Drosophila melanogaster: one gene and its partners. The protein of the gene in region 4 interacts with the protein of the main gene of each other region in a pairwise test. Each region holds a gene or a part of one and is shown on either strand. Other genes may lie near its edges.

Region 1 (7,455 bases), on a different chromosome or scaffold from region 4:
AACTACCGTTTTTTACTCCTAATTGACAATACTAACTATCCATATCCGTTTTTTACGGACTTTGTAAAATTAATTTTTGACCAAAATTTCGCATTTTTTGTAAGGGGTAACATCATAAAAAATGAAAAAAATTGAAAAAATTTACATTTCCAACTTTTGAATACAGTTCGATTAAAAATTTAAATACAAACTCAGCGATGTATGGCATTCCATAATCAGACAAATATTTTTCAAGTTGTGGCCAAAAAAATAGATATTTTATGACAAAAAATAGTAAAAACGGGTTTTGTCAAAAATTGAAATATTTTTGATTGGCATTTTAATCATAACTTGGCTAAAAATGATCATAAAGCTGAAAGAATAACTGTTTTGGGCAGCTAATTACCAATGCCAAACAGCCCTATCACTTTTTGACGTATTTGAAAAAATTAATTTTTTAAGAAATTTTCGCATTTTTTGTAAGGGGTAACATCATCAAAATTTGGAAAAAAATTGAAAAAATTAAAATTCCAATTTTTGAACACAGTTTAATTGGAAATTTAATTACGAGCTCAACGAGGTATGACATTCCATATTAAAAGCAATTAAACCAATGGAATTGTACAGATATACAGATTTAAGAATGATTGTTTAAAACATGAGTGCTGTTTAACTGTCATTATAAATATGAAACTATCTGGTTGTTAAAAAATTTATATTTCTCATCCGGGTAGTGGGAAATTAGCGACGCACCTTAAAACAAATAACAATACGCCTACAAAGTCGTTTATAATAGATACACAGCTTTTGCACACTTTTGACGATAAAAACGATGATGTTTCAAACACATCAGGGGCGCCCACGTTCTTATCAGTTGAGAATGTTCTTTACTTATCGGCGCCGTAAAGCAAACACTTTTCAAAAACGAGCGTTAAACAAGACAAATTATTACAGATGCTTAGATGCGATAATTGTAACCTAATTGTGATTAATTGTAACTAAATGATTAAAATTAAAATAAAAATCACAGTTTGAATGCACAAAATTGAAATAAAGTCGATTTCTCCATTTACAAAAACTTGATATCTCCATTTGGAAATTCTAATTGGTTTGCTCTCCTGCCTTTTCTGCTTCCACTCTCTCTCTCACTTCCAATTGGAATTGGGGACTAACGAAATGGAATCAAGTTCAAGGCCACGATCGATTGATTGCCATCTCTGTCGCACTTGTTGGATGTGACTCACCTGCTGATTGGAATGAAGCTGCGCTGCTCCTCCTCTGCCGGCGTTGCCTCCTCATCGACGTTGGCAGAGGCAGCGACCTCTGACGTCACGGGGCGGTAAATCAAAGGCTTCACGTTGCGTTCGAAATCGTCGAGGAAAACGACATCGTGGACGGGAATAATGCGGTGATCGGTGACGTTGAAGTGGAGATCGCGAAAGGGGCCGTTGAAGAGGCAGCGCAACGGTGACGTCACCAGCACAGCATCTTCCGGAGGTAACTGTAAAAAATGTACAATATTTGTTGTATTTTAACGTATATCAAACATTTACTGATATAGTTTTATATTAAATCAAATACACCGCAACAAATCTCGTGCAAACATCAGATAAGATATTGATACGATACGATAATTAGTATAATATTTAAACAATGCGCAGTCAGGAGAAATATAGAATGGCTTATCAATTTTAAAATAAAACTAACGGAAACAGTAATATTGTACATATTTCAGTTTCAACTCAAAGCATAAGTTTCTCTGTAGCCAAGACACCATTTGGTAAGTTAAGAAAACTATTAAGTGGACGTTTTTTTTTTTACCTTGATTTTGCCATTGGTCGCCGAGAACATTGAGATTTCGAGATTTCAGCGATAAGAGATGAGCAACAACACAAATCAAATAGAATGCACAAGAAACACAGATACAACACCCACACATGAATGATCGTGCAACGGTGTGCGCAGAACAGTGAAGAGGAAGCAGAGAGACGAAGCAGAGGCGACAAATTGGACACGCGTGCGTCGCGTTGGTTGGATTTTGTGTTTTCTTATTTGACTATTGCCTTTTCGGTGCTACTTTAACGGGTTTCCCCGTTTCACAGCCTTTATCATCTTATTTTCGCAGGGCTTTTTTGCTTTTCAATTTACTGCCTGGGTTTCATTTAACTTCGCTGCTCTTCTACTTCATTCATTATTTGATTTGTTTACGTTGCTATTTCCCAATTTGTTTGCTTCTTTTCACTTCATTTTCTTTCAATTAGGACGCACACAAACACACAGGAAAAAACAAAAAAAAAAAAAGAGAGACACGAACGCCACTTGCACAATTGAAAATAACAACAAATTAATGGGAACGCGCGAAACACGGGCTGCTGCGGCTGCGCCTTCACTTTTCACTAAAACAAAAAGCACGTAAATAATGTTGAGACGAGATTTTGCTTTTTGTTGTTGATTTCTTTGCCGATCGCTCTGCCGCCGCTCGACTGCGCTGCCCGCGACACCGCGCTCTTCCAATTGGTCCAATTGAGATCAAACAGCTGGTGGGCACTCGGATCTTCGATTGCCGCTGTCTGGCAGCACTGGGAACAGTGAGAACAGTGGCCAGACTGCGGAGCTGGCGATGGGCGATAGTTTTGTTTCATTAAAAGTAACTTTTGACTTTATATTAAATACAATACTAAAAAATGTAAAAATATGCTTTTTAATATGCACTTTAAGTGAAAATGATTGTACATTAAGTTTACTTCATAAAGACTTTAATGACCATAATTTGTTGATGGGCGTTAATTTTATTCTAACTTAAATAAACGTAATACCTAATATTTATATGTAATAACAAAATAAAATGAACCTAAATAAATAATGCAATCCACTTTAATTTGACATTATAATTATAATTTTTTTATAAATATATAAAATAAAAATAATAAATAAATAATTTCCGTAGTTATTGTAATGTATTACTATGATGAGTATATGTTAAAAGCTTTAGTTAATTTTATTTAAAAAATCTGAAGACTAAATATGGAATGAATTACGCCAAATGAAATGAAAATATGCATTGAAAAACATGCTTTATACCTAAAGGCGTAATATACATAAAGTGTGCTTTTCAATAAAAAAGTGAATGAACATAATATGGAATCAAATACATATACAAATTGAAATGCAAGTATACATTGATACAATTAAGTATAAAAAATCACAATTGTCATTTAATTTGGTAAATATTATTAAACAATGTATATCAAATAAAAGATGTTAGTATTAATCGATATCTTTCGATTATTTTGTCACGGCGAGGCACGCAGCGAAGCGCTCATCTCTAGCTTCAGCCTCCTCTTCAAAACCCATAGAACTGGCAAAATAAAAAAAAACGAATCAAGCGCTGATTTTACCGAATCTCTTTACTGAATCAGCATATTATCATAGTCCATATAGTCCGGCGTTCGAACGGGTAAGTTGAACACTAAACGGGAGACATGGGAATTATTTAAAATTCGAGAAAAATCGGTGAAAAGGAAGAAAAACAAGTGATTGCATACAGTTAGTTACACACACGCGGCGGCCGTTACTCCTTGTACATGTGTGTGCGTGTCTGTTCGCGCTTCCGAATGTTTGTGTTTTAGTGAAGCGGCATAAGCGTGCATTATCTTGTACAAATGTACGCATTTCTCCATTGCCAACATTCGCTTCACACACAAATTACTCGTTTTCCATGCTGGAAGTGCCATCTTAGTCTATTTCCCAGTTGCAAATTGGAAAATCAAAGAGCGTTCTGCTGGCCAGCATGTGTGGTGCGCGTGTATTGGTGTTGCGGCGAGAGCGCGAGCGAGATGGGGCGATGCGTTGCATGCGGCAACAGCATATCTCTTCCATCTCTTTCGTTTTTGTTCTTTTCCTTTTTTTTTTGTCTTTTTTTTTTTTGCTGACAGCTCTCTATGCTTCTAATAAATATTTATGCACAATTTTTGCAGAGCTGGCGAAGTAAACTTCAACTTCGAGAGTCTCGGAATCTTTCGGACTTTGCTATAGAAAAAACGCTTGTTAAAAAAAAGGATGTAAGTGATGAAGATGAAACGTAATGTAATGAAACGCACACTAGTAACATACATACATACATATCGCTTGAGTACATAGATCACCGCCAATAACATTAATGTTCCATTTTTGCCTTGCAGATCACCATGTCGCACACCATCCTATTGGTACAGCCGGGTGCTCGTCCGGAGACCCGCACTTACTGTGACTACGAGAGCGTCAACGAGTGCATGGAGGGCGTGTGCAAGATCTACGAGGAGCACCTGAAGCGCCGCAATCCAAACACTCCGACCATTACGTATGACATTAGCCAGCTATTCGATTTCATCGACACAATGGTGGACATTAGCTGCATGGTTTACCAGAAGAGCACCAATACCTATGCGCCCTACAATAAGGATTGGATCAAGGAGAAGATCTATGTGCTGCTCCGTCAGGCGGCATTTAGTTCCAATACCTAAAGGGACGGCGATGCGACAAGATACATACATATAAAACCAAATAACACGATGATGCATGCATCAATGCGTGCAACACTAACGACAACAACACGTTGATGTATGCAACAATGCGTGCAATAGCAACTACAACAACAACAACAATACGAGGATACATGCAACAGCGCTTGGAACAGCATCCGCAACGGCCACAACACCATAACACCAATAACACCAACAAGATGAGGAAGAAGAAGAAGATGATGATGGAGTGGTGGGGCATCGATTCCATTGGAGACTTGCTGCTACCGACTAGATCGCCAAATGACAGCAACTTTTTTTTGCAACATAACGCAATGCAAAAAAGGAAAAGGAACACAAAGAGAACGATAAACTGTATAACTTAGAAATGGAAAACTTACTTTAAACGTACTAATATATATATATATATATAAATATATATATAGGCGTATATATATATATATACTGTATATACACCCAACTGACAACTGTGTGTGTTTTTGTGTGTTTCAATGTTTTTTTGTGCGGCAGCCACAGGTGACGGTTGTTCTTATCGATAGCGAACTGTATGTTTGTTTGTTTGTAAAACCGAATGGCAAATTTGCAAGTGTGCATTTTTTTTTTGTATGTTTTGCCGTGTGTGCTAGCTTAAGTCTTTGCAATCTATCGAATAATAAACTAACACATCAGGACACACTGAGCATATATAAACATATTTGTAAACTACTGATTCCCCCCCCCCCCCTTTATCATTTGAACTTAGTTAAACAACAACTTTTAGCCCGCTGATTTTGCACACCGATGGGCTTTGTGGCGTTTTAACGGCTTGTTTTAAGCAAAACAGAACCTTTGGTCGCAGATGCGAAATGACCTTGAGATGCTGGTTGTTGTGTGTGTGGTGAGGGGGGAGGGGTAGGGGTTTGTGGGTTGTACCCCCGCCAGATATTCAATCGGATAACGAACTTGGACCGCCGCTGAATCGCTTGGCCGCACTGCATTGAACTTGGCGTGCGATATTTAATTAGCTCCGCGACAGCATTTTGTTAAATATATATATATATATATATATATATGTATATATGCACATTTAGTGTCGACTTGTGGATGCTGCTTACTAGCGTTAACTAGCAATAAACATAGTGTTTATAGTTTACCCATTATATTTGCTGAATATTAATGATCACTAGATTTCTCATTATTCAGACAAATATATTTGTTTGTGAAAAAAGCATTTGCTACAGCAAACTGTACAGTTTATTACAAAAATATGTATATATATTTTCAAAAAAAAAAAAAAAAGAATTTCTCCTATTTAAAGTAGTTTGCTTGCCACGCAACTCCGCGCTTTTTACAGGGTATGCAATAGCGCTACAGCTGCGTCGAATATGGTGCATAGTTTTTTTTTTTAGAATATTTTTCAAAACTGGTTTTAAACACTGCATTGTCGCCACACCGCCCCGCACCGCCCACTTTCAATGTCAGTTAGCCAGCCTCGCTTTTTGGCCAGAAAGCAAAGCGAATGGGATGCAGATGAAGTGCATCCTGCATGAGATGCATTTTTCGGTCATATAGTGTTGCACTTGTCTAGTTTTGTTTTTTTTTCTTTCTTTTTTATGTAAAATACTATTCTTAACCGGCTAAACAATAAGCGTTAACAGCTAAGTGGATTGAGCATGGGGGGGGGGGAGAAATATATATTGTGGACCTGGCTAATGGCGCATCTGCCGCTGTGCCTCCTTCTCCACCTCATACTCGTACTCCAGCTGCAGTTTGGGCTTCGAGCGGCTGCGTCGACTGTTGCCCGCCGGCGATTTCTTGTCCTTCTTCGCTTTGCTGGCGGTTTTCTTGGCTGGCACTTTGGTCTCCTGTTAGAATGCAATTGTTCGTTTTAAGTTCGGTTTGGCAATTGGAATTTAGTTTTGTTTCGTTTTAGTTTTCTTTTTTTTGGCAATTTTCTGGAGCTGTTAGTTAGCGCGCACTGAATGGAAACCGACGCAACTGAATGAAAAGCGGCGAACGGCGCTCGGAAAGCTTTATTCTCCAAGCTCCAAGCGGGCAGAACTCGTTTGCTATTTCTAATTATGGTAATTTCGGAAGAAGGTGGCAGGATTTAAGCAATTGCCAACTATTTACATACTCAGAATTTTCAATATTAAAAGAAATTCATTGAAAAAGGATTTGGAAATCGTTAAATGCTCCAGAAAACTGCCAACAAAATAAAAAAGAAAAGCCTGATACATGACCAGAAACACTACCTCAATATCATCTGCATCCGCATCGTCATCCTCGTCGGACTCCTCGAAATCGCTGCCCACCTCGACCTCTTCCCGCTTGCCGGAATCGCTGTCGTAGTCGTCCTCGTCATCATCATCATCATCATCATCATCCTCCTCCTCATCGTCCGTATCTGCCTCGACGAACTCCTCGTCGAGCAGGGATCTCTGTACTTCCTCAGCTTCGCGTGAATCGTCGCCGTCCACCTCCATTTCGCGCTCCAGCTGCTCCTCATTCTCGTCTTCGTCGTCTAGCTCCTCCTCATCATCCTCGTCCACGCGTTCCGCCTCCAGAGCCTTGTTGAAAGCGGTCTGCGAAAAGTTGTAGATGTCGCGATAGGTGCCATTCTTCAGACGATCCATCAGCGCCTTCTCGATGTGATTGTCGATCTTGGCGGCCACCAAGGCCTTCTCCTCGCGCCGCGCCTCCCGCCGTTCGATCTTCGTCGATAGCGGCACAATGAGCTTCTGGCGGCGCAACTTCAGACGACGCATTCGTATCAGATATTGGGTGATCTTGAGGAAACGCTGCTTATTCTTGGCGATCATGTATTTGGGCCAGAAAACCAAATTCTCGTTGATCTGTTCGATGGCCTTCTCGAAGTTTCTGGACAACTTGATCCTCTCCCACAATTTGCTCGGCATATGCGCTCTCTCCGCCGTCTTGATGAACAAATAGATGATGCCCTTCTCCTCGCGAACGG
Region 2 (5,827 bases), on a different chromosome or scaffold from region 4:
ACATTGTGGCCAAGGTTCGTCATCTGGGAGATGCCTTTCCGCAGCTCATCGAGGCCATTTGGCAGGCTTGCGAGGAGCTTGTTGCCGCCGCCGTTCCACTCTACGAAAGCTTTGGCAACGCCCAAGACGATAGCTCGAAATTCGAGCAACTTGAACGCCTGTTCCAGATCAACAATGATCTGTTGAAGGCTATCGGAGTGTCGCACCCGAAACTGGAGCAAATCTTCACCATCGCTTTTAAGCGTGGCTTCTTTTCAAAGCTGACGGGCGCCGGCGCAGGTGGCTATGTCATCGTTCTGCTTCCAGAGAACTACGAGTGCAACGAGGTCTACTGGAAGCTTAAAGAGGAGCTCGAATCGGCGGGTTTTGGTGTTCATGTTACGACTGCCGGCGGCGAGGGATTGCGCGTTAGTTCGCTGGATGACTGATGCGGTTTCGTTTTGTATTGCTATTGTATGTATTCGTGGTTTTGTTATAAATTAAAGAATAAAGATTTATACATGTATTTTGTACGGCAATCTGTTTGTTTATCGTTGACTTCTGTCCCGAGATTTGTAGACAATTCCACGATTCTTCATGTCACGTAAGGTAGACTGCGGCAGTGTTCCGGATACAGAAATGGCATAGATACCACGAGTAAAGCGGGCTAAAGGAAAATGATTTCAAATATATCAGTAATACCCTTTTGGAACGGAAGTCATTCAGGCCTTACACAATCTTTGCCACTTGGCCACCCAGGAGTCGGTGGGCGTAGTTAGGGCAATAATTCCGTCAAAGTTGTTGCTAGTGTGATCATAGACATTGTCCTTGTTGTTTTTCATTCGCAGGAACTCCTCGCAGTTTTCACAGCCATCAGTCTCAAATTGATCAAAACTCTGCGGGCGATAAATGATTTCAATGAAAATGTGTGTCGAGTCTGGGCAAAATATAACCCACCTTCACTAGGGAGCAAACGAGGCAGGCGCGAAGTCCTCGCAGATCCTTGGGTATCGCGTCAAAGGCCATATTTACTTATCAATTATGGGTTTAAAACTAAAAATACAAAATCCGTGCAAAACCAAGCCACGACACTGACAGAGTGACCGTACTCTAAAATTTTCTTGAATCTACGATATCGATGGGCGCCGGTTACACCCGACAAAAATTGTCAAAAGAATTTTCACGAAGCTAACCTTTGTATTAAAACGTGTTTTAAAAGTGTATATTTCCTTAGCAGCTATATGAATTTTAAACAAAGTTCAACGGCTTGGGCAGTGGCTTATTCTTTTTTTGCTTGTAATAATCCTCTAGAATTTCAAAATAGATCAAAACCAGTCCCAAGTGAATTCCTGGATTGGCTCCTGAAAAGTTAAATGCAATTTTGTAATCCTGAATTGGAAGTATGGGCAGAGAGACCTCGTCCAAACGAAAGTTACGCGCAATCAAATGACCCTTTAGAAACATATATATATATTCAATATATTGAGAAAATTTAACTATATTATATATACATAAGCTTACCCTATATGGGCAACTGTGGTTTACATTAGTCCACTCCGTCAAATGGCTAATAGCGTATTTTTGCAGAAAATTACTTTGCGTTTTATTCTTTAACAATTGGCAAACATCAAATTTAAATTTAACGGCGAAGGGCTTGTACAAATTCGAAGAATCCTTGTAGAACACTTCTACTGACATCTGAAAATTTCCATTATTATTGTAATACTTAAATTAATGAAACTTCTCACCTTAATATCAGTTAATGCCTCCTTTATGTCACCATCCATGTTCAATACCGATCGAGTCCAGTTTACAGGCTTCAGAATGCAAGAGACATTGCTGAAATATGCTCCGTTTGCTATGCACTCAGTTTTTCTGATTTTGAAAAAGTATCCATTGGAATAGAACTAAAAACTAAAATATTTTTGAAATCTGTATTTATACGGGCTTATTTACGCACAATGGTATTTGGAAGGCATAATAAAACGCCCAAGTACACACAAGAGACAGCAAGCCACTTTGCCATCATTGAAACAAATAAACATAACTTCAACCGAACAACTTAAAGCATACGCTAACTACATTTTAATAACTTTGTACACTTGATAAAAAGGTATCACGGTTGAATGAACAAACAGCTTTCAAATAAATAATCGATACGCCACGATACACTTATCTACACTTTAGCCAAAAAATCGGCTTAACGTAAATTAATTTTTGTTAAAAATGCACTATCGCTCGGAAGTAAAAAAGCGTAAAATGAAAAGGTCGATTGCTTGTTTTGATTTTACAGCCTAATTCTATTGGTTATTTACACAATGCTAATTGTTGTTAAATGCTAACCGTTTGCCAATGTAATGTAAGACAATCGGTTAATCGACCCCCTGATGAGATAACGGCTACGCCCCTGGCGATCAGCTGTTACGCGGTTGTTTTGGGTGTGGAACAGGGAAGCACAAAAGTACGGACAAGAAAGAACGGTAATAACAGCTACAGCCGAGCTCCGTTAATCTTTTACCGCTAGGATCGTTGGAATAGAACTCGCCATGTCCTCCTCCTCGACATCCAGTCCCACGGACAACAGCTCGCACGGATCGGTGGCGCTGTCCTCGGCCCTTAATCCATCTTTAAACCCGGTCTCCGGCACGAATACCAGCAGCCAAAAGCCTTTTTCGCTTTCCGAGCGCCTGAACTTTGAGATCTACCGTTACTCCAGCTACTCGCCAAACTATCTGCCTGAGTAAGTACTAATCTGGAAAAGAAAATGGATGCCTCGCATATCGTAATTGTTAAACGGGCATCTTTTTAATTTCCATTCGTAGAAACGTCCTGGTGGACTGTCCCAACGACCAAACATCTAGGTGGTCCGCCTACACGAACAGCCCGCCGCAATTTCTCACCTTGAAGCTGCGCCGTCCCGCCATTGTGAAGAAAATCAAGTTTGGCAAGTTCGAGAAATCGCATGTGTGCAACATCAAGAAATTCCGTGTTTACGGCGGCTTGGACGATGAGCACATGGTTTTGCTGCTGGAGGGGTAGGTCATTCAGCTGGTTTTCTGAAATGCATTATTTAATATAACTCAAATATTTTTCCCAGTGGCCTAAAAAACGATAACGTGCCAGAAGTATTCAACCTGCGCTGCCTGACCGAAGACGGTTCGGAAAATCTACCAATACTGTACCTCAAGATCGTGCCCCTGCTCTCCTGGGGTCCGTCGTTCAACTTCAGCATTTGGTACGTGGAGCTGCACGGCCAGGACGACCCCATGTACACCAGTGCTCGCATGAAGAACTACAACTCGCTGCGCGAGGTGGAGATCATCAAGCTGTGTCTGAAGCACTTCCGCCAGCAGGGCTATTTGAGTGCCTTTGGGGCGCTCCAGGAGCAAACGAATGTGCAACTGGAGCACCCGCTGATCAGCGAACTGCATAAGTGTCTGGTAAGAAAGGAATCCCCAGCATAGATCATGCTATAAACCTTTGAAGTTTGGTATTAAATTCATAAAAAAAACTGGTTCTTAGGTTTTGCAGGGCGACTTTGAGAAGGCTGAACGCTTTATAGTCGAGTGCATAGACGAGGGCCTAATGGATGAGTATTTACATAAGCAGGACTACAAGCACAGCTGGCATATGAAGCATACCGAAAGCGACATAAAGCCTGGTAACTATTTTTGCCTCCAAATAGCAATCATTAGCAGTTAACTTCCTCTATTTCAGGCAATCGCGGTGGTCACCAGCTGGTGGTGGATGCCAAAAGGAGACTTATTTATCTCTACGGCGGCTGGGATGGCTACCAGGACTTGAGCGACCTTTGGGTATTCAATATCGAAGATGATCAGTGGACGCTACTGTGCGAAAGGTCAGAGCTTTCCAATGGACCCACACCGCGATCCTGTCACAAAATGGTCTTTGATCCCATCAGCGAAAATGTATTCATGCTTGGTCGTTACCTGGATAACTCGATACGAACTTCGGATTATATAAAGAGCGACTTTTACCTTTACGATACGAGGGCTGGCAACTGGATGCAAATATGCGATGACACCAGCCAAGTGGGTGGTCCTCAGCTTGTCTATGATCACCAGATGTGCATGGATACCGATAAGCGTACAATTTACGTTTTCGGAGGCAAAATACTCACGCCTCGCAGTGTCAATGCCACGGGAGCGATAGAACCAGAATATTCGGGGCTGTTCTCCTATCACATAGCAACGAACACCTGGGCTCAGATTCTGGTGGACTGCCACCATGCCAGCGCTTCCCTGGCAGATGTGATGTCCATCAAGTCCAGGATCACACACTGCATGGTTTTCCATAACGTAGGTTAATTATACTCTATAAGCTATGTATACAGATATATGTATTTGTACGCGCTATTATAGAAACATCGAAAACTTTACATATACGGCGGACAACGAGGGAAGGAGGATCTGGATGAGTTTCTTAGCTACGATGTAGACACCCAGGCCATATCGGTTCTCAACAAGGAGCACCCGCATCACGGAACCATCGCTGGCAACGAAGCCAAATTCGAACCTTCCTCCGGTTATACTTTACGTGCCACCATTGACTGTGAACGTGATGAAATTTATATTTTTTCTGTAGGTAGTTCTGACATTATTTCGGCGTTCGTATTTAACTTCTTCGTTTTTAGAGCCTAAGTAAGGTGAAGGATCGTCGTGATATACAGCATATTGATGCATCAAACTCCTTTTGGGTTTATTCCTTGCGCAATCACAAGTGGTCGAGGATATATTACTGTCGCCACAGTGGCCAGGATGCCAACTCAATTAACAACATGAATATTTTGGGCGCTAGCAAGGGTGATGGAACCTTAGAGCCGTGCCCTCGCTATGCCCACCAGCTGGTCTATGATGATGTGACCAATACCCATTATTTGTTTGGCGGAAATCCTGGAATCTGCCAGCAGCAGCAGCTGAGACTTGATGATTTTTGGCTTTTATGTCTGGAAAAGTATGTAATTTACTAGCTGAATGTAATCGATGATAATTTTATTATATTTTAGACCCAAACGAGAGGAGATCCTGAAGCATTGTCGGTTTTTGGTGCGTAAACTGCGCTATGAGGAGATGACGCGCCAAGATCCCTTAAAGGCAATGCAATACTTACGGCATCATATAGCCGATGTCATTGATCACAGCGATGCGGAGCAGTTGAATAATGTATGTCTAAAAAAAGAACTTCAATTTTTGTAGCTTTCTTATATCTGAGTTGATTATTTTAGTTCCACAAGCTTGCGTCTTTACTCTTCAAAAACCATGATGGTAACCTTGACAGAGAATGCAACACACCTGCGTTGTGTGCTGATGCAGACGATCTCGAAACGGATTCCGATGTATCGGCAAAGATCAAAGGTTTTATTAGTCAATAATGAATTCGTATTGGATAATTCAACTTGTATCTTTACAGAGGAACTGGCTGATGGACCCGCTACCGAGAACCTCTCCCTGGAGTCGAACGAAAGCATGATCTCTTCTGGCATCTCGGAGACTGCATCTAGTCCGAGCTCCTCCTCCTGCACCAAAAGGGCGCGGACGGATTGCACACCCGAGCTGAAGAATAAGCGAGCTTTCCTGTTCAATAAACTGGTGCAATTGATGCCACCGAGCATGGTCCAACCTGAACGCAACCTTAGCGACTTTGTGGTCATGTAAATGTTAACGTGCCAAAACCGATTCAATACGAGCCCCCATCCAAGATTATATTTAGCTTATTAAGTGTGTGAGAGTTTTGTTTTAAACTGTTGATCATGATGTGATGTTTAATTCGCTTGTTTGCCCATATAAGGTTCTACGGTTAATGCAAAGCATGACATATATATGATTTT
Region 3 (10,963 bases), on a different chromosome or scaffold from region 4:
TTAGAAATAGCCAAATCTATGTACATACCATCACAAAATAAATTTCAAAAATGACTTTATATAATAGAATATTTGTCATTAGAGTATCCAGCTTGCGGCGTGTGAAAAATTAATAAGGCAATGATTGTTGAGTGCTTGTGGCCGCACTTCGTGCCTCAAGATATGACCAAAACAAAGACACTAGAATAATTCTAGCGCCGGTATCGGGTAGGAAAGTGGAGAGGGGCAACAATAAGAAGCTCGAGAGGGCTGTGTTGCGTTGCATTTGTCCCACTACTTTTTAATTGCATAGTAAACAATAAAATGAATTTCAAACAATTTGGGCAGATCTGTTATTTGGCTTAAAAATCTTTACTAACATACAGTGTCATTATAAAATTTAACAAATGAAAACTAATTTTGGTACAAAAATTATAGTTCCCAGAGTGGGTAATTAACTTTATGAAATCAATAAACATAAAACAATCTTACAATTTTGTTAAATAATGAGACAGCTTTTTGGGCAAAGCAACAACTAATTGTTTTTAATACTCAGTAATAAATGTAAGATAAAAACTTAAAAAATTCTTACATAATAAATTCGTAAAAAAAATTTTAGGTACTATGAGTATAATTAATTAAAGTTGTACTTTGGATTACCGAGGCATTTTTGTTGGTCTATACCTCTATACCTTTATTTTTCCATGTAAAATAAACTTTAATAATATTACATTTTTATTTAACAGTTTTAATATTTCATAAATTAATCATAAGCATTAACTAGCTTGTGTAGCCGAACATTAACTTGGTTCCGAAATCGCTCCTTTTTAAATTGATGCAAGTCATGTCCTTTGCTATAAACATAAAATGGTACTGTGCCTTTTCGCTGTAAAACTATTTGATTTCCTAATGTGAAATGCATATAGTCAATTTCTTGGGTGTTCTGCGTTAGAGTTGAATTAGGAAAAGGCATTCCTTTTACATCAATGAATCTATTTCTTGTCTTTTGCAGTTGAACAATGTTTGAATTTGTTTCGTTAGCAATATACTGATAGGACCTTTGCGTCATCAGACCAATAAAAAATGCCTTTGCAATATTCTGGATATTCGTAGACCCCTCAATTTTGGCATATAAATCCTTGATACCTATAACTTTACAAATTGTCTGAATTGCCCGGTGACAGACTAAGCCGTATCCATCAGGTTTCTGAAAACAAAAAATTTTTGTTTTTCCGAAATCTGTACGAAAGTCATGAAAAATTGTTCTATTTTCACAAAGGCTTATATTGATTAGTTTTTGTCCTGCTCGGTTCTTTGATTTTCGAAGGGCCGTACGAACTTCTGGCGCTTTAGCGGTAGCGAATCCTGCCAAACCATTACCATTTCCCGTGACTGAAAGAACGGAATATCTTCGTTTTCTTCCCATATTTCCTTTCATAATAAAAACAATTTTGTTTTCTAAAACTCTAGTATCAAATGACACAAACTCTTCGTCGCCAACAGGATCAGGAGGTCCAATGCTTCGGCCGGGCATTTTACTTCCAGACCAACCTCGGTCTATTGGATTTAGTTTCATCAATTTAAAACTTCCCATTGAATCGCGTAATTTTAAAATACCATTTTCTCTATCTAAATTCTCATTGAGTTTCTGCTGATTAATTAACTCGTTTCCTCGTATAAGAGGTGAATTCAATCCAGGCCATATGCGACCGCATTTTCCGAATCCGATAGATTGCCCTTTGTTAAGATCCTTTGCAACTTTTTTTCCACTTCCTTTCCCACGGCCTCTTTTTTTTCCAGCATTGCTAACCGCAGTTACTCCGCGCCAAATGTCTTCAGCAGGTACTAAAAGTAAACAAAAAGGTTTTAATTAGTTGAGTAAAATTAAATTATTTGCTTTCAAAATATTATTTCTAATATATTATAAATAAATCAAAGTTGGACTTTCTACGACTTCCTAAAGTCCGATTTGGATTTTTTTCTGTTGGCTTCGTATTTTCTGGGAACAAAAATTTGGCTATGTGTAAATTCGAGAAAATCTTTAAAAAAAAAACGCAAAATAGAAAAAATTTGTTACAAACGTCAACACATTCGTTAGTTTAATATTTGACATCGGAACATTTTCTTATGAAACAATATTTCTTTGCTGTTTTTGATAAAAATTGAACGAGTCTTAGAGAAAACATAAAAAAAGAGACTTGTTATTGTTGTTTTCGCGGATTTGTGATATATTTGTGTTTTAATACGTGTGTGTTTTTTAAAAGTATTGCTAATTGAGGTTAGCCGTAAATCGATTTCGAGTTTTCGGGTTTTTTATTATCTGTTTTTGTGCATTCAACCGGCACCGTGGCTTGATTGATTGTTAAAATTATTTCTAACTGCTTTTTTTACAGCGATTTTTCAACGTCTTTGTCTTAGTGAAATATTGCCGCTCCACCGACGTTCAAATCGTGCAATTCGAAGTAGAACAGTAGACTGATGAGCTGCGTAAATAGCATCGAAAAGATATCCGTTCAAGAAAAAAACAATAATGTGGGGAGAGGACCGTTCTGCTGCAATTGATGATCAAGAAAAAGAAAACAGACCATATTACCACCATAATATCCTCCACCAGAGCCATTGCAATCTTTTGTCTGGTGATGGTCCAGTTTGAACACATTTCTTCCCTTACATTCAAAAGTATAATTGCATCCAAACGACTTCTTTTGGCGCTACCAATATTATTGATGTTAATTTTATGCCAATTGAGAACGTAATTTCTATTTCGAATTTTGCTGCAATGGATGATTGTTAGACACAAACATCACAATCATATAACAACGAGATATAATTTTTTTGATTATAGCCAGACTAGCCAGTACGCGTTATTTTATAGGAACTCGGTACTCTTAGACTAGAATACTATGACGAAGTAAAAAAACAATCATAAGAAATTATCCTGCAGAGGCAGCTGTTTTAAATGAGCACTTAAAAAAGGATGCATTACATTATTATGCAAGAAAGCTAACTCAACCCAGAGCCTGCAGAATGTAAATTATTCAGGAGCAGGACCCTGTTGATAATGATTACCGGTCCCTAGCTGAGGAAAATGCTCAAGCATATGAAGATGATGTGAGCAATGATTCCTGTAATTTTTTACGATTACCACCTTAAAAAATTTCTTTCCCTTTGAAAAATCTTTTCAGGTTCCGTCCATCAATGGGGGCAAAAAAATGTCCGATCGAATTGTTCAATAAAACAACCTTTTTCTTCATATAACTAACTCTTAAAGATTTTGACGGTATAGTGGGACTTAACCTGCTTATGCACGTTGACGGATAACTTGATTTAAGTAACGGTATCATTAGGTTTAAAGGCGACACCCGGTTGCTTAACTTCAAAACGTTTCCCAATGTAAATTTCACACAGGTCGATGACTCTGACGTACCTTTGTCTATAAAAGAATCCTTCGATATCATGCTCAAATCTAGATCAAATGCATTTGAGGACCCAAACGAGTCGGTACCCTACAATATAAACACTGGCTACCATACGAACATATGATGAGCCAGGGTAGTACGGGTTATACATATACCCTACGGGTGTAGGTGACTTTGTTAATTCAGAAGTTAATCAACTTCTAGAAAACGACATCAATCGACCATCAAGATCGCCCTACAATAACCCTATTTGGGTTGTTGATAAAAAAAGGTGTCGATGAATTCGGTCATAAAAAGAAAAGAATGGTCATAGATCAGGAAACTTATTTTCCTAATTCTTTTTTTTTTAATTCCTAATTTTTTCCAAAAAAAAAAGAGGACCACAAGAAGCAGGTTTTAAAAACCTTGATGAAGTTAACATGAAAGTGTCTCAGGAAAAATCCAAGTTCTTTGAAAATAATGTGGACTATCTGGGATTTACTGTGTCCAGAGGTGGAATTCAAACTTCGCAAGATAAGGTACAAGCCTTACAAAATTTTCAAATCCCTTGAACCCTTTTTGCACTTAGATCATATCTAGGGCTACCTAATTATTATTATTATCAAGGGATTCGCCAGACCCCTAACGGACGTCTTAAAGGGCGAAAATTGCAAAATAAGTGCTAATCACTCAAGGAGAGTGATTATTGAACTAACGAAGATGAACCTCTGAAGATGTCGTTTTGAGATATCCAGATAAAAAAACCCTTTGACCTAACAACAAATGCCTCGGGGTATGATATATAGCAGTGCTATCCCAAGAAGGTCGCCCCATTACACTTATTTCTCGGGAACTACGGAGTAACGAACAAAATCTCGCAACAAATTTAAAAAATTTAAGAAATTACCTGTATGGTGTGAGAAACTTCAACATCTATACAGATCATCACCCGCTGATAAGATGACTACTGGCTGATTTGTCAGTAGTCTCTACAGTGTAGGTCAGGGATTCTTTTCTATGGACCTACACTGATTTGATTTGTCAGTAGTCTCTATAGTGTAGGTCAGCGATTCTTTGCTATGGACATACACTATAGAGACTACTGACAAATCAGTGAACTGCTTCAGGAATCAGTTAATTATTGAGGAATCTGATTTCCTATCTGTTAGAACCTTCGTGCTATTTCAGAATGGATCTCTAATCGGAGCACTCTTCTCCAAACACTAAAAGACGAAGTAAATTCAGGGATCGTCGAAGGAATCCATTGCGAACTACCGATCCTTGCTTTTAAACAACACACACTGATCGAACTTTTCTCGTCAACAAAATTTCGATACTCAAAGTATTTGGTAACTCCCAGTTAAATCGGAGCAAAGTGAAAAAGTACAGGCAAAACACAACCGCGCCCACCGAGCGGCACAGGAAAATGTTAAGCAAATAATGCGTGACTATTTTTTTCCTAACATGAAATTAACAGCAAATTGTTGCAAATTGTAAGGTCTGCTCGAGGGCTAAGTTTGAATGACATCCAAGAAATGCCAATCACCACCTACGCAGGAGAACGTTAACACATTGATGTATTTTCTACACACAAAAATACTTCCTAACGTGTGTTGATAAATTCTCAAAGTGTGCTGTTTCTTGACAGTCTCAAAAGTGTGTAAACTTGGAATTTGTTGTTTATTTTCTTGTATATTTAATATTTTTAATTTGTTTTTGTGATTTATAGATAAAATAAATATTGTTTAATTATATTTTATAAAAAAATTGCGTTTAATTAAGCAAAAAACTCTTAATTTTTAGCTTTAAAGTCAAAAATTCAACTTATTTTACAGTGTGTATGATCATGCATTTTAAATTTGACAAAATATGCCCTTCACCTTAGAAGTTCTTAGACTTTAAATCTATATTATTTTTAATCAATTGCCACCACGCGAAAAATTCTTGTTTTGCATTGCCTTAACGTTATTATTATTTAAATATAGCTTAGAAATAGTAATAGCCGAATCATAATATCACAAAATAAATTTCAAAAATTACTTTTTATTCGAATTTTTGTCAATAGAGTGTTCAGCATGCGACAATGATTGTTGAGTGCTTGTGTCCGCACTTCGTGCCTCAAGATATGACTTGCAATAAACAGTTTATTTTATAAATTTTTATTTTCTACAACGTATTATTTTTATGAAATATTTATTTCTCTTATGTCTTCTTTTTGGAAAATTTAACATTTAACTAGTTACAGTAGTTATAATAATTTCCTTTGTATTTGCTTTAATTATTAAGTATATTTATGAAGTCATTTGACTTAATATGAATATGATGTATGTAAATTATCCATTTTTAATAGATTCGGTTGTTCAGTTTCAGTTTTTTTTGTCTATTCCAATTTGATATATTTAAAAAGTGCGCACAAGCAAGCAAATTCTATTTTTAGATTTCTTACGCTCTCAGCGTAAGCAAGCGGACAGAGAGCAAATTAAACCGTCACTAAAAAAGTGGCTGCATAGTGCCAAACCAATGTATGAGCGTTACTTATCTTGTTATTCTAGTGTCTTTGGCTAGTGAAAGTGCAAACTAGAAATTTCAACATATTCAGACATCTCAAAAAATTGAGAAAATGACAAATAAAATGAAAACAAATTTAAAGTTTTGGCCGGTAAGTGGGCGTTAAAGGAGCATGGCCAAAAGGTTTTTTTTATACCGAGAAAAAATTTGCAAGTCAAATAATACGTTTTTTGTGGGGTTTTCAAATATTTATAAGAAAATACAGAGACATTTTCAAGACTGAAATATAAAGAAAAACTGTAAATATTTTTCAAAAGTATGGTCGCAGTAGTTTTGGGCGGATTGTAAGCGTGGAAAAAGTTTTTTGTCCATGGCCATATCGACTCGGCTAGTGACCCGATACTTCTAAATACGAAGGGTCATTATTACTGCAAAGTCCTTTAAATATGAGGAAAAAATAATATTTGTAAAAATACACGAAAATAATAAATCATTGTTGTTTAAATAAAAAATACATAATGATTCTGACATTTTTCTTTTAAAGGCTTTGAAAGATTCAAATTACACCTCGTGGAAATAATTTCTGACCCACTGTATTTCACTGTAAATCAGCCAGAAAAAGAATTCCTTGTTTCATTTTATTTGCACCATTACTACTACCTAGAACCATTTTTATCCAATGGCAGATAGAAACATTTCTGCTCTTTTATTGAATTAAAACATTTTACTTACATTTGTTAAAGAAGCTGGTATTACGTAAACCAATGTAACCTGGTAAAATGGGTTCATGTGAAGATAACAAGCTTTGGTTCAAAATAAAAATATTTCTGCTACAAGCTTGATTGAAGAGACGACGGATCAATGTTTGACTCATATTTACATATGAATTTATTAAGACGTTTTGATACTGAGGATATTTATGAGGTTAATACAGCAACACTAGCAGTAACGCTACAAAAAAAGACCAAATTAAAACAATTATAAGACGTGCGTCATGCTTTAAGACCCGTCCAGACTAGTCCTTCATAGTTATACCCGTTACTCCTAGAGTAAAAGTACGTAACAGACAGAAGGAAACGTTTCCGACCATATATATTCTTGATCAGAATTAATAGACGAGTGGATCCGTCTGTCCGTCTCTATGAACGTCGAGCTACCAGGAACGACTATTTGCATCGCTTTAGTCGAGTTCGATGACTATCAGTTACCCGTTACTCAGATCAAAAGAAATTGGGAAAATAGCAAATAATATAAGAACAAATTTATTTTTTTCAAATGTGTGGATGTGTTTTGACCAGTTAGTGGCCGTATAATGTGGCGTTGCCAAAAGGTGTTTATACTGATAGAAATTGACAAGAGAGATAAAACATTTTTTTGTGGTATTGTTGGCGTTCTAAGCATTTATTAGCAAAACGATATTCATTTACGAGACTGAAATATAATTGAAAAATCTAAATATCTAGTTTGGTCGCTGTAGTTTTGGGCGCATTGTGCGCGTGGCAAAAGTTTTTTGTCATATTGATAGAAATTAACAAAACTGATAAAAAAAACTTAATATATGTCAGAACATTATCCTTATGTGTAAGCGTAACACCATCAGTTAACAATGTTGCGCAGCGTCTACGTATATCTATAGACCTCAAATTTCTAGCTTTACTAGTTCCTTAGATTTCGATATCTATACGGACCATATATGGCCATATCGACTCGGCTAGTGACCCGGTACTTCTAAAAATAAAAGGTCATTGCACTACTGCAAACTCCCTGATATATGAGGAAAAAATAATATTTGTAAAAATACACGAAGTTAATAAATCATTATTGTCAATATAAACAATAAATGCAGATCCTTATATTTTTCTTCGTTAATATGTTATAGGTTTTAAAAGTTTTAAATTTCCCCCTGTTTAAGTCAGTCAGCCAAAAGTTTCATTTGTTAAATTTTATTTGTTCTTTTACTTTATGATTGAAACATTTGACTTACATTTGTTAAAAAAGTTGGTATTACGCAAGCGAATGTAATTTCTTAAAAGGGGTTCATTAGAAGATAACAAGCCTTGATTATTAAAAAAAAATGTTTCTGCGATAAGATAAAAGCCGTGTATAAATATAAAACACTAAGTGTAAGCTGTGTATAAATATAAAATACTAGGTGACACTAATATCGATAGAATTAATTGTATATTATTTGGCTGACTTTAAAGTGCGCGCGAGAATAGAGCTGGAGAATCATCGATGGTCGGCACTATCGATGGTTTTTTAAGAAAACATCGATAGTATGGATAGTTAAAAAGAAAACAAAAATAAAGGAACTATAATTTAACGTGAACCGATGTTTATATACCCTTGCAAATTAAAAAATATATATTACAGTAGCCCTTTAGAAAAATGCAGAAATACATGCACAGGAATTAAAATGCATTTTTAAACAAAAACGCTTTATTTGCTTCAATGCAAACTATTATTTGAATTAACGCAGTATTCAAAATATTTAGTAATAACAAAATAATGGTTTTTTATATTCATAATAAGACATATTCTTTCATATTCTGTTGAACTGGCCGGAATGCACAGGCACTTTTTACAAAGTTTGGTTATTGGCTTCAGACTCTCACTGTTTGCCTGAAAAGGGATAAATTCATTAATATTTAATTTAAAAAGTAAAAATGATATTCTTACAATCCAATAAGCAGTTAAAAGAAATGCCCTTGCACAGAAATTACCACTTCAATGCGAATCAAATACTTTGTGAATGTATAAAATAGCATTAGTTATTAAGAAATTGTTTGAGGAACACGCAAAGCGGAATGGATTCGTTTTAATTTGTGCAAAGGATCAATTTTTACATTTCGATTTATCGGGCATCAAATATGCAAATTGTTAAAATGGTGTTGGCATTTTGATCGGATCAGACATCGGATCGACCAGACACGGTCGAAGGGAAGCAGTCAGGAAGAAGCACTTCTCATTGCACATCCGCAGGCAGGCGCTGGCCGATGACTTCTTAGCAAACTCAACTATGCCCTCGCCCATATGCTTGCCAGAATCGTCGACGGTGATGCTGGCCCTCTCGATGGGACCAAAGATTTCGAAGGACTTGTACAGCAGCTCGTTGGAAACGAACGGTGTGAGATTTCTCACCTGCAAAATGACATTCGGTGCGAATCGTACACCATTCGCATCGATCCGTCCAGGGCGCGCTTAGCCTTCTCGGCATTAGGATGATAGTTTAAAGGTGGTTTAAAGGTGGGCCCAGAAATGCTGCAAAACCGCTGGGAAATGAAGAAGTCTTCACAGCCGCGCGGACCACCGTCTCCATCGCCACCACCACCCATATTGGTGCTGTTCATCGTGCCACCTGCACCTTCGCAAGGCGTGGACCACTACGGTTTCGGTTGTCACGCTGCTGGTTCTGCGGACCTCCGGAGAAACCGCCACCTTGATTGTTACCAGCATTGCGACCTCTGAATCCTGGATCATTTCCCTAATTTCCGGCTCCTCCTTGATTTCCTTGGCCTCCTTAATTGCCTGCACCTCCTTGATATTCTGGTCCACCTTGATTTCTTTGACCATGGACTTGATTGATTGATTTTGGTTTTGTCCTTGCCGTTGATTTTGGCCCATGTTGGCGTTCTGATTCGCTTGATTTTGGCCAGAAGCTGCAGTTGCCGGTTCATTGTTCTTAGGAAGTGCCGCCTTTGATGTTTCGTTATTGGGCTTTTGCTATATTTGTGTTATACATTTAAATGAGTACAATATGCAATTGATATGTGAGCCACATCTGCAGTGTCGTCATTCAATCCAGTTACACCATTAGAATACAAACTGAACAGATATAACATCGATTCAATCGGCTCTACAGGCGTGCCTCCCTATTTAACTTCCCCCCCGAAAAATGTAAAGAATACCTAATATTTGTATACAATTAAGTGCCCGGGATAATCTAATCAACTATATCGAATTTAGATAACTTACATTTGAATTGTTGTTGCCTGGAAAAGTCCGGTTTTGGTTTCCAGCGCGATTGTTTTTGCGATAGCGGTTTCCAGCGAACCCACCCTTGTTGTTTGCAAAATTCTTATTTTAATTGGCGCCACCACCACCGCCCGTTACACCACCATTTTGATTCTGGGCATTTGGACCACCGAATCGTTGCTTCTTTTCAGCCGGACATACGTCCGCGAAATCATTTTGATTTTGTGCATTATGCTTGCCGAGATTTTTGTTGGCCTTCTAGTTTCCCCGCTGCTGTCGCTGCGCTTCAACTTGCTCAGAGCGTACGATTGTTTTGTTGTATTCTGTGTAAATAATAATTATTATTTTTAATCTGGAGACCCTAGAGTTTTACAGCCATTATACTTCTTGGCCTCATTTTAAATATTCTTATTTTTTTAAAAGACCAACTGAAACCTCGTAAATGGTTAGAAGTTTTGACACTTCATCACAATTTTGCTTGGAGGCATCTTCTCCAGGATTTTCATCAGAAGAGTCACTAGATGAGACCATCGCTGAAGAAATTAGCGAGATATGTGAAGATGAACCAATTTATCAACTGAAAAAAACGCAAAAGGTGACTAGGTAGCATAGTTTCGAGTATGAAACTTATTATTTTTAATGCATTAAGTCCATTTGGAGTCTATTTAGATCATAGGCATTTTCAAATAGTGACAGATTCTAATTCCTTAGTGCAGACATTTAGTAGGAAAGCCATAAACCCTAAGATAGCTATACGGTCATTGGAATTGGAAAACTATGATTTGCAGAGCTGCTGTTAACATGCCGCATGTTGACGCATTGAGTAGTCAAGTTTAAATATTAGATGCACTTAGAGAAAATAGTGATAACGCCAAGGAGCCCCTAGCGAAATCCATAGAGAATAGTGAATATATTGAGAATACCCTAGAGCCTGTATGGAATAAATAAAAATAAAAATAAATAAATAATAAAAACCTAGAGAATATAGTAGGTAAGATAAAACCGCATATAGTAGGTACAGAACCTAGGAAAAATACGCAAAACTGTTAAGACAAAACTGAAGACAATCATTTTTGCATTAAGGATAGTAAAGACAGCGGGGC
Region 4 (7,966 bases):
GCTGCTGTTTGGCCCATTGACGGAAAAGCTTCATTGGCCTGGTCCCAAGCATATCATATACAAGGAAATGCACCTTAAACGAATGAGTCGCCCAACCAAAATGGGGTACTAATGAACAGCAGAGCAGTGGAGAGGTATGTGGCTATATTAATGTCACAAAGAACTTATATTTCGCAATAGAGATGCACTTTCACTATCATTGCGCATTAATCGATTCAAAATGTATTGAGTTCATAACTCACCATTTGTATTCTTAATGGCATTTTTTTTTTTTTGTCTAAACCAATTCGCTACCCTCGAAAAGGGGAAAATCAATTATTTTTTTATTCCCATGATGGGTTTTTTCAGCTCCATTACATCTGGAGTGACTTAAGTTTGCTCTTATCCCTCGGTTGCCATGCCTTTCCCATGCCGAACCCTTCCGCTGCGGCGAGCAACAACATTTGGCTCTTAACCCAGTAAACCTGGCTGTGCTCTAATTAAGCAAACATGTTGCCCATTTATTAGCAACCCTCGTCGTTTTGCCCCCAACTCCTTAATGACAAGGTTTACTTTGAACATTGTCGACACCTGACGTGTGGCCCTCGATGGAATGAATTCTCCTGGGAAGCGGACCGGACCCATAGATGGCACAGGGTTGATCTGTCCTGCAGTCGGGAAAATGAGGTCTACAAAACGGGAACACACCCAGCATTTGGTATCAGAACGTGTTGACTGGCCAAGACAAGAATTACGTTGCATGTATGACAAAGCTTTGTCAGCGATTACAGGAGTGGACACTTACAAATGATTCCATTTGCGATGCATATGTTGCCTCGATTTGTGTATTTGGCAACTTAGAGCCTAATTACCGAGCCAAATCATTTGTATCTGAGCTGAGACCTCCCGCATTTCGGTGGTTCGGTGGTTCTGTGGGTTGGGCTGCCTTGCGTTTCTTTTTTTGTTTGCACCGAGAAACTGGAAGTGGAAATAGGGCTGGGTCCAAGGCAGGGCTAATGACGCTACATTGTCTTGTGATGCGTATAATGTTTGGATGGATCCATGTCCGCAATCGACGATGTATATTTTCGAGATGAGCAAACGGCAGCGACTTGCTTCAGTGACTCCGACAAATCGACGGGGAGACACAGGCCTCTCATAATGCATATAAGACTGCCCTATTCAGTGATCACACATGCGGGAATTCGTCGTCAAGTTGATGAGCGGCGATTCATTTCCGCCGCGCATCAGAGGGCCAATTCAGTATTTCAAATACACATTTCATATGCAGCGATCGCCGTTTTGCGCAGTGAACTGTAACCGAAACTTAATTAGCTCGACGAAATCCTCGCCGTAGAAGGCACATCTAGGGGGCACACCCGGTGACATTTGCATAAAATATATATAGGAGTAGGAGGAGAATGTGTTCAGAAGGGGCCCAGATAAGGGTCACCACTATCGAAAGGAAGCCAAGCAGGAAATCTTAATGGATGTGTGGTCCGACTTGAGGAAAAGGGTTCGCTCGTGAGTTTGGCTGTTTGGCTGAAAGGGAAAGTGTGAGAACGCTATCTGGATCGAAGATACTGGGTTGAGAACCACAGAGGGCAACTTTGATCCAGCCACAATCTATCGTCCATTCCCAGCAATTACCATTAAATTCCATTTCAATTTCTTTCCATCAGCTTTCCTCCTTGCTGTCCAATCGCCAAACTCCTGACAGCTTGAAATATTCGAGATACTTTAACGCACTCAACTTTTTCTGAACTAATTAAGCGCCGCAGCAGAGCAAAAACCCAAAAGGAAACGAAACTGCTGAAAACCTCAAGTTGAGGTCTCTGAGCTTCCAAGACGAAACAACAAATGTGGCAAGCACATAACAGATTTTAAGGGAATGGAGCTGGCGCCAAGTCATTTCATTTGAAATCATTTCATTGGAAATTCTCAGCTGCGGATGCGGATATTTATGGGCACTTTGAGCTGCCGAAACACTCAACGTTTTTTTTCTCACAAGTACTAGACAACGGCGTCAGTAATTATTTTACAAGTTAACACAAGAACGCCAGTGTATAAAAACTAAAAAAAAAAACCAACACTGGCCATAAAAACCCAGCCAAACGAAACTAACAAACAAAAATGCGGAGTGGCAGCCACGAATTAGTGCTCCTGGCGGCATTTATACCCCTGCAATCGAAGAAAATGTGGCACCTGTGCGCCGTCTTGGCATCTGTGCCTCCAGTTTTCCCCCGTATCTGTATCTGTATCTGTGTACTTGTATCTGTATCTCACGGAATGGTGGCTATGTCTTTTGTGCGCCGCCTTCGGTTGGCGAGCCAAACAAATAAACTTGCGGCCAAGTTATGACAGTCGAGGGCCGCAGGAAACATTATTCTTAGTTAGATGCTAATTAATTAGGGGACGCGGAGGAGTTGGAGTCTCCGCCAGCAATTCGGTGGCAGCCATGTGGGCAGCGACACGATCTCGTCGAACCAGCGGCAAAAAAAAAGCCCGAAATGCACACGAGAATGACACTTCTTGGGTATAAATTTTGTTGACTGTTGTGTTTGCCAGCCCCTGAAAAATGACCTGGGGGATGCGATGTGTACAGAATGAGGTTAAATGGAAGTTGAATTCGTTGAAGAAGACACTAATATAAATTGCCGCACGTCGGTGGAATTTTACTTATTTAAAGAAGAAATATACCTTGGCATTTCAAATTAAACTTAAATAGTTCAAATGCGACTAGCTGGCTGTTATATTGCCATCGGATTTAATGGTCTAATTAGACATTTTATTATTTATTTTTGACATTGCATGAATGGGCTTTGTTTAGATTTTAATGAAAACAAAGTTTAATCAATGCTGTTTAAATGGATCCTTATTAAAATTGCAGAAGAACATGGTAAATATTGTTGCCCCATTTCCATCGTAATCCCAGCTGACAAAAGAAAATATTTTCCCCCCAAAAATTGAGATACACATTTTCATTTCGTTGGTAGATGGTTGCAGGTAAATGAAAGAGATGTGTGTTTATGTACAAAATAAATTCATAATAATTCCCATGAATTTCCAAGCTGCACACTTTGTATATTTATAAATATAGTTTTATACACCTTTTTTAATTCCACAAACATATTTCACATTTTATTCAACGCAACGTTTGAATGAATAACGTATTTTTCGGATTCAGTGGCAATGAAATAAAACTAGCGATTATTGCATTTCATAATTTCATTGCTAATCAATTTTATCACTTTGCTGTCTTAGTATTTTAGTTAGATTTGAATAAAATATTGAATACAACCTGTTAATGGTAGCTATGTGGATGCATCTATGAACTTCGGTGCTTTAAATTCTTTCACGCACATCGAATTATGGGTTTTAGGCGCAGTTTAAAGCAGATTGGGCAAATCTGCGGCAAATCTGTTGTTCATTGGAGGCATACTCAAACGTCTCATTACCATAATATAGCCAACTCAATTCCGCCTGGGCCCACCAACTTTTTCTACAATGGCAATAAAGAGTTCCCCTCGCAATCGACCACGAAAAGTTTTTTCAGCGGTATTATCATAATGATTGCGCCCCAAACGGCGCTTGGGGCAGATTGAGGGACTCGCCCGCCTGCTGCCAACTTGTTTACACAAATTTTAATTGGTGTAATTATGATTTTTACACGAAATTAATTATGCATGCGCGATTGCGGCTGCATCTTCGCAGCTCGCGGTAATCGCTACCCATCGGATGCCCAATCTCAATCTTAAATTTCTAAACCATCCCAAGTGAGCAAGAAAAATAACTCGAGTTATTTACAAAAGCTGATGATTGCGGGGGGAAAAAGCGAAAGCGAGGTCTCTGGAACTTTAATTGCCAAACATACTTCTACTTAATTACCCCGCAGAACAGCGGGAAAATTATGAAATCCAGGGGCCTCGTTGCGCGTCTAGCGGAGTGTGAAGTTGCCAAAGACTCGAGGTTGAGGTTGTACTGCGGAATATCTAGATACATAACTGCATCTGCGAGATAAGAATCTGTGTGCAACAGCCGTCGGAGGCACAAAGTGTTCGGAGAAAGATCTTTCTTTAGGAGATAAGGGCAGTATCTTAGCGTTTTACGACCTGCCGCCGCTTTTCTTCTTCGCTTCTTATTTATAAAATACAGCAGGTTAGTTTGATTAGCCCCAGATGTTGACAGCTTGGCTCTTTCTTAATTTGTGTTTAATTAATGAGGCAAGGGGACAGCCACCGTAAGAAATGGGGAGAACGGGTTGGAAATGATATCTTTTGATCTCTGGAATGCGCCTTGATGAGATACATTTGATTGGGCCAATATTCTTCTGGTTTCTTTTCGGATAAATGAATTATTTAGTTAGTAATTGACATAAACTTGTTTTTGTCGCACTAATTGATTGTTTGCAACTCAATATTTATTTATGCATTGCAAAGTCTCTATGGGGAAATCCTGTTTATTGACATGATTGCTTTGAGCATTGAGCACTGATTGTTTTCAAGTTAGGCCTTTCTTCACTCTCAACTCACCTAAATATTCCAAGAGTTTTGAATTAGCCTTTGCGTTGACTTAAGGTGTATATTGATTGTATTCCGTTTGCACTTTAGTTTGTAGCAAAAAACAACGATTTCTCTACTAAAATTTCAAGCACTGTTGTTCACTGGGGCAGCAAAAGATACTCTATCTGCTGGTTTGTTTCGATATGTTTGAGCACTCCGTGGGCATTTTCTCAGGTAGCACATTTCACACACTTTGCCGCACGCTGCTGGCGGCCGCAGGTGCACAATTGCCGCATCTTGGGTGCCACTTGCACCGTATCTTATTCCTGACCAATTCGTATCTCTGCACTCGCGCTGCGCGGATTGCGTATCCGTATCTGTCGGATCTCTTGGCGATTGGCTGCCAGCCGATTAAGCCTGAGATGGGTAACTGCGTTGATTCGCGACCGCGTTGCCAGTGGCCAAGGCGTTCTGTTCTTCTTGTCACGAGAGCTGGATTGAGACTGGGGGCACAAACTGAGACTGAGACGGCGGACTGCGACAGCGACTGCGACTCTTGTAACGCGCGGCACGAAGGTCGACGAGCGATTGAATCCGATTGAATGTAACGTGCAGCGCACCACTCCGTTGCATGTAAGTGTGGATGCTAAGAGAGCGAGCGCTTCTCTTTTGTGGACTCTGTTCGCTCGTCGGTGGAACTGTTTACAAAGTTTATGTGTGGAGAGCGCTGTAAAGGACCTGCAAGGATTTATATTATCAAATTAACATTTAAATCATAATTTGGAGTTGTTTCTATGTTTTTGTTTCCTTAAAACTTATCATTTAAGCTACAGTATAGTTTATATTGTATATGCTGCGCTAAAAACTAAGTTTTTCAATTCTCAGTAAAATTATCCACAATGGAGTTGAATTTACCTGCCCAGGCCCAGGCACTTCACCTGTGCTCTGTGAAAATCGCCGAGAAACTCCAAATCCGATAGAGTTTTTCCGCTCTCTTCCGGCTCGTATAAGAGATTTCCGTCTGCGGCGAATGTGGAACAAAACAAGAGCGAATTCGAACTGTTGATTTGTTTTTACCCTCCCCGACTTTTCCTTTCGCTCGCTTTTTCCGGCGAATCCGCCTTGCAGTCCAAATTGGAAATGGCGGACCGCCGCCAATCGCGGCCTCTGATGAATTTCCAATGATTGACGCCGGCATTAAGCCGAAATCGCACATACAACTTGTCATAATTTCCAGCAGAGAAATGCGATCTTGTCACATTGGTGCACCATATCATATGGACATGTATGATTTACGAACTCTACGGTTTTCGTGGGGCATGGGGATTTATAGCTACGCACTTGTAGATTGTATCGCAGAGGTTGTGGGTTGATTGATTGGTCTCACCAGTTGATCCGACCCTTTGTTCTTCGCCACTTTCGAATGTTTGACTCGGTGACACAATTTCGAGGGGCCCACAACGAATTCCTCGAGTGGATCGCCGCTAATCAACTGATATCGCTCCGGGCCAGATCGCCTATCGAAAAGCGAACAGCGTTTGGAAAGGCGTTATCTGGAAACCGTAACCAATTTGTATCATATATGGTGACTGTTTATGAAAGCAGTACTTCTTCTGTCTCTTTGTCTGTTTTCTTAGTTAAAAAAAAAAAACATGTTTTTTGTCTTCTATTTTATGATTACAGACACCCAGAAAGCTATGAATTGGATATTAATTTAAAAATATATACAAATATTCTGCAAGATTAATGTAAATGTTATTGACAGGACAACTCCAGCAAATCAAACATTCTGTCTTGTAGTCAATTTAACTTTGTACGTAGTTTTATTCGATAGACTCTTTGCATGTTCCTATCAATTGGCCATTTGTCACATCCGAGTGTACAAACAAACAGCAGACAGCAGAAGCATTGCCAACTTCCAACCATAACTCATACCCATTCCGGCCAAAGCCGTTGGGCATGCGCTGTCTGTCAAACGGCTTGTTCGCCTGCCCGGCAGTCAAAGAAATCAGCGGACGAGCGGATGAGCGGCGGCCAAATGGTTATGATCAGGAATTTACACAAAAATGCATTCAGCGCTGCTAATAGATATACAAAATACATACATAGATAGAACAAGCAAATGTTGCGTTATCACGAGTAAATATTTACATAGCCTTCAAGGACTCTGTGAATACATCAACCCCATGCTGCGATACTGGCATAGTATCTTTTGCCACATTTGTTTATTGTCCCAGACCTTTCCCACTCCATAAAGTATTTATAGATACTGACATTCTCGATGGACTGCTTTCGAAGATTAAAAATTCTATCAGATACCCATTACTGTATTTTATCTATTGTGCAAGAACGATAGCTGTTGACACGACGGTTGATCCTGATGAAGAATTCATTCCAATGCATCTGGACTGATAGCCAAATATAACAAGCAAACATACGCCATTTGGTTTACGCTGTGATAGTATCCATGAATCGAACTGATAAGTTCCTTGAGTCCTCGTTCATGCAATGTAAGTATTTGCTTATGATAACGCGACAGCGTGCCACTCTGTATTCTTCGGACGAAGTTTGTAAATTTATCAGCCGCGCTGATTGCATTTTTGTGTAAATTCCTGTTCATAACCATATATATATACGCCGATTTGTTTGACTGCCGGGTAGGCGAACAAGCCGCCTGACAGACAGCGCATGCCCAACGGCTTTTGCCGGACTGCGACTGAGTTATGGATTGAAGTTGGCAATGCTCCGGCTGTCGGCCGTTTGTTTGCGCACTCGGAAATGACAAATGGCTAATTGATAAGAATAGACATGGGCGACACATTTGGCGTTTCCTGCAGGAAGCAGTGAACCAGCCGCCCAACTCCCGCACGGCGTTCTAACGTCGGTCGTAGTGGGCCAGGAGCAGAAGTTTTCCATTCCGCCTGATACACTTTAAGGCTACCATCTCGGTCCAATCCCCCGCCCGCCAACTGCCAAAGTTTCCACTGACTTGGCTCACAAGTTTGCCCTAATCCGTCCCACTCCCCAATGGAGCCACTGCCGCACTCCGCGCACATCGATTCAATTGCCCCTCCGGCGAGGAGGCTCGCCATTCAGCTCACGTACACGCATATCAATTGTTACTGCTGCGAGGCTTTGGCAAATGATGGCCCGGGAATGGGTGAATGAGTGAATGAATGAATGGGTGAATGAGCGAATAAGTGAATGGGTGGGTGGGTGAGTGACGGGTTGCCTGCCACAGCTATAGCTTGTCTTGGCCCAACTTCGACAGCCGATGCCTGCCCATATTCAGATTCTATATTCATCATATTGACGGAGTGCACTGAAAAAAGTTCATATCGGTTTGGCAAGAATTATATAGTAGTACTTTGATATCAATAAATAAATAAATAAATAGTAAATGAAATCATAAATACATGCATTAAATAAGCAGCTGACTAAATGAGGATCCAAAACTGAAATCTAATTCCGGGCACACTCTAAAT

Evidence for each region.
Region 1: the proteins of smal (region 4) and e(r) interact in a two-hybrid assay, tested with the Drosophila melanogaster proteins (one large-scale study listed by BioGRID).
Region 2: the proteins of smal (region 4) and spt4 interact in a two-hybrid assay, tested with the Drosophila melanogaster proteins (one large-scale study listed by BioGRID).
Region 3: the proteins of smal (region 4) and mRpS5 interact in a two-hybrid assay, tested with the Drosophila melanogaster proteins (one large-scale study listed by BioGRID).

The regions. Positions count from the first base shown.
Region 1 is NC_004354.4:8,902,090-8,909,544, reverse strand, and holds e(r) (enhancer of rudimentary), read left to right. Parts: upstream 1-3,296; 5' UTR 3,297-3,436; intron 3,437-3,554; exon of another isoform or gene 3,555-3,776; intron 3,777-3,956; exon of another isoform or gene 3,957-4,040; intron 4,041-4,160; 5' UTR 4,161-4,166; coding exon 4,167-4,481; 3' UTR 4,482-5,401; downstream 5,402-7,455. Other genes in the region: Rbm13 (RNA-binding motif protein 13), read right to left, coding at 6,188-6,343, 6,734-7,455.
Region 2 is NT_033778.4:12,628,855-12,634,681, reverse strand, and holds spt4 (spt4), read right to left. Parts: upstream 1,094-5,827; 5' UTR 1,006-1,093; coding exon 937-1,005; intron 876-936; coding exon 713-875; intron 647-712; coding exon 528-646; 3' UTR 510-527; downstream 1-509. Other genes in the region: Mvk (mevalonate kinase), read left to right, coding at 1-428; CG33792 (uncharacterized protein), read right to left, coding at 1,228-1,677, 1,728-1,886, 1,940-2,008; muskelin, read left to right, coding at 2,526-2,719, 2,802-3,014, 3,077-3,419, 3,502-3,640, 3,697-4,298, 4,362-4,580, 4,634-4,953, 5,006-5,162 and 2 more. UniProt on the Drosophila melanogaster protein: Component of the DRB sensitivity-inducing factor complex (DSIF complex), which regulates transcription elongation by RNA polymerase II.
Region 3 is NT_037436.4:24,533,271-24,544,233, reverse strand, and holds mRpS5 (mitochondrial ribosomal protein S5), read right to left. Parts: upstream 6,999-10,963; 5' UTR 6,921-6,998; intron 6,872-6,920; exon of another isoform or gene 6,837-6,871; 5' UTR 6,760-6,836; coding exon 6,618-6,759; intron 6,324-6,617; coding exon of another isoform or gene 6,322-6,323; exon of another isoform or gene 6,099-6,321; intron 1,825-6,098; coding exon 743-1,824; 3' UTR 700-742; downstream 1-699.
Region 4 is NT_033779.5:6,176,245-6,184,210, reverse strand, and holds the start of smal (smoke alarm), read right to left. Parts: upstream 5,079-7,966; 5' UTR 4,512-5,078; intron 1-4,511.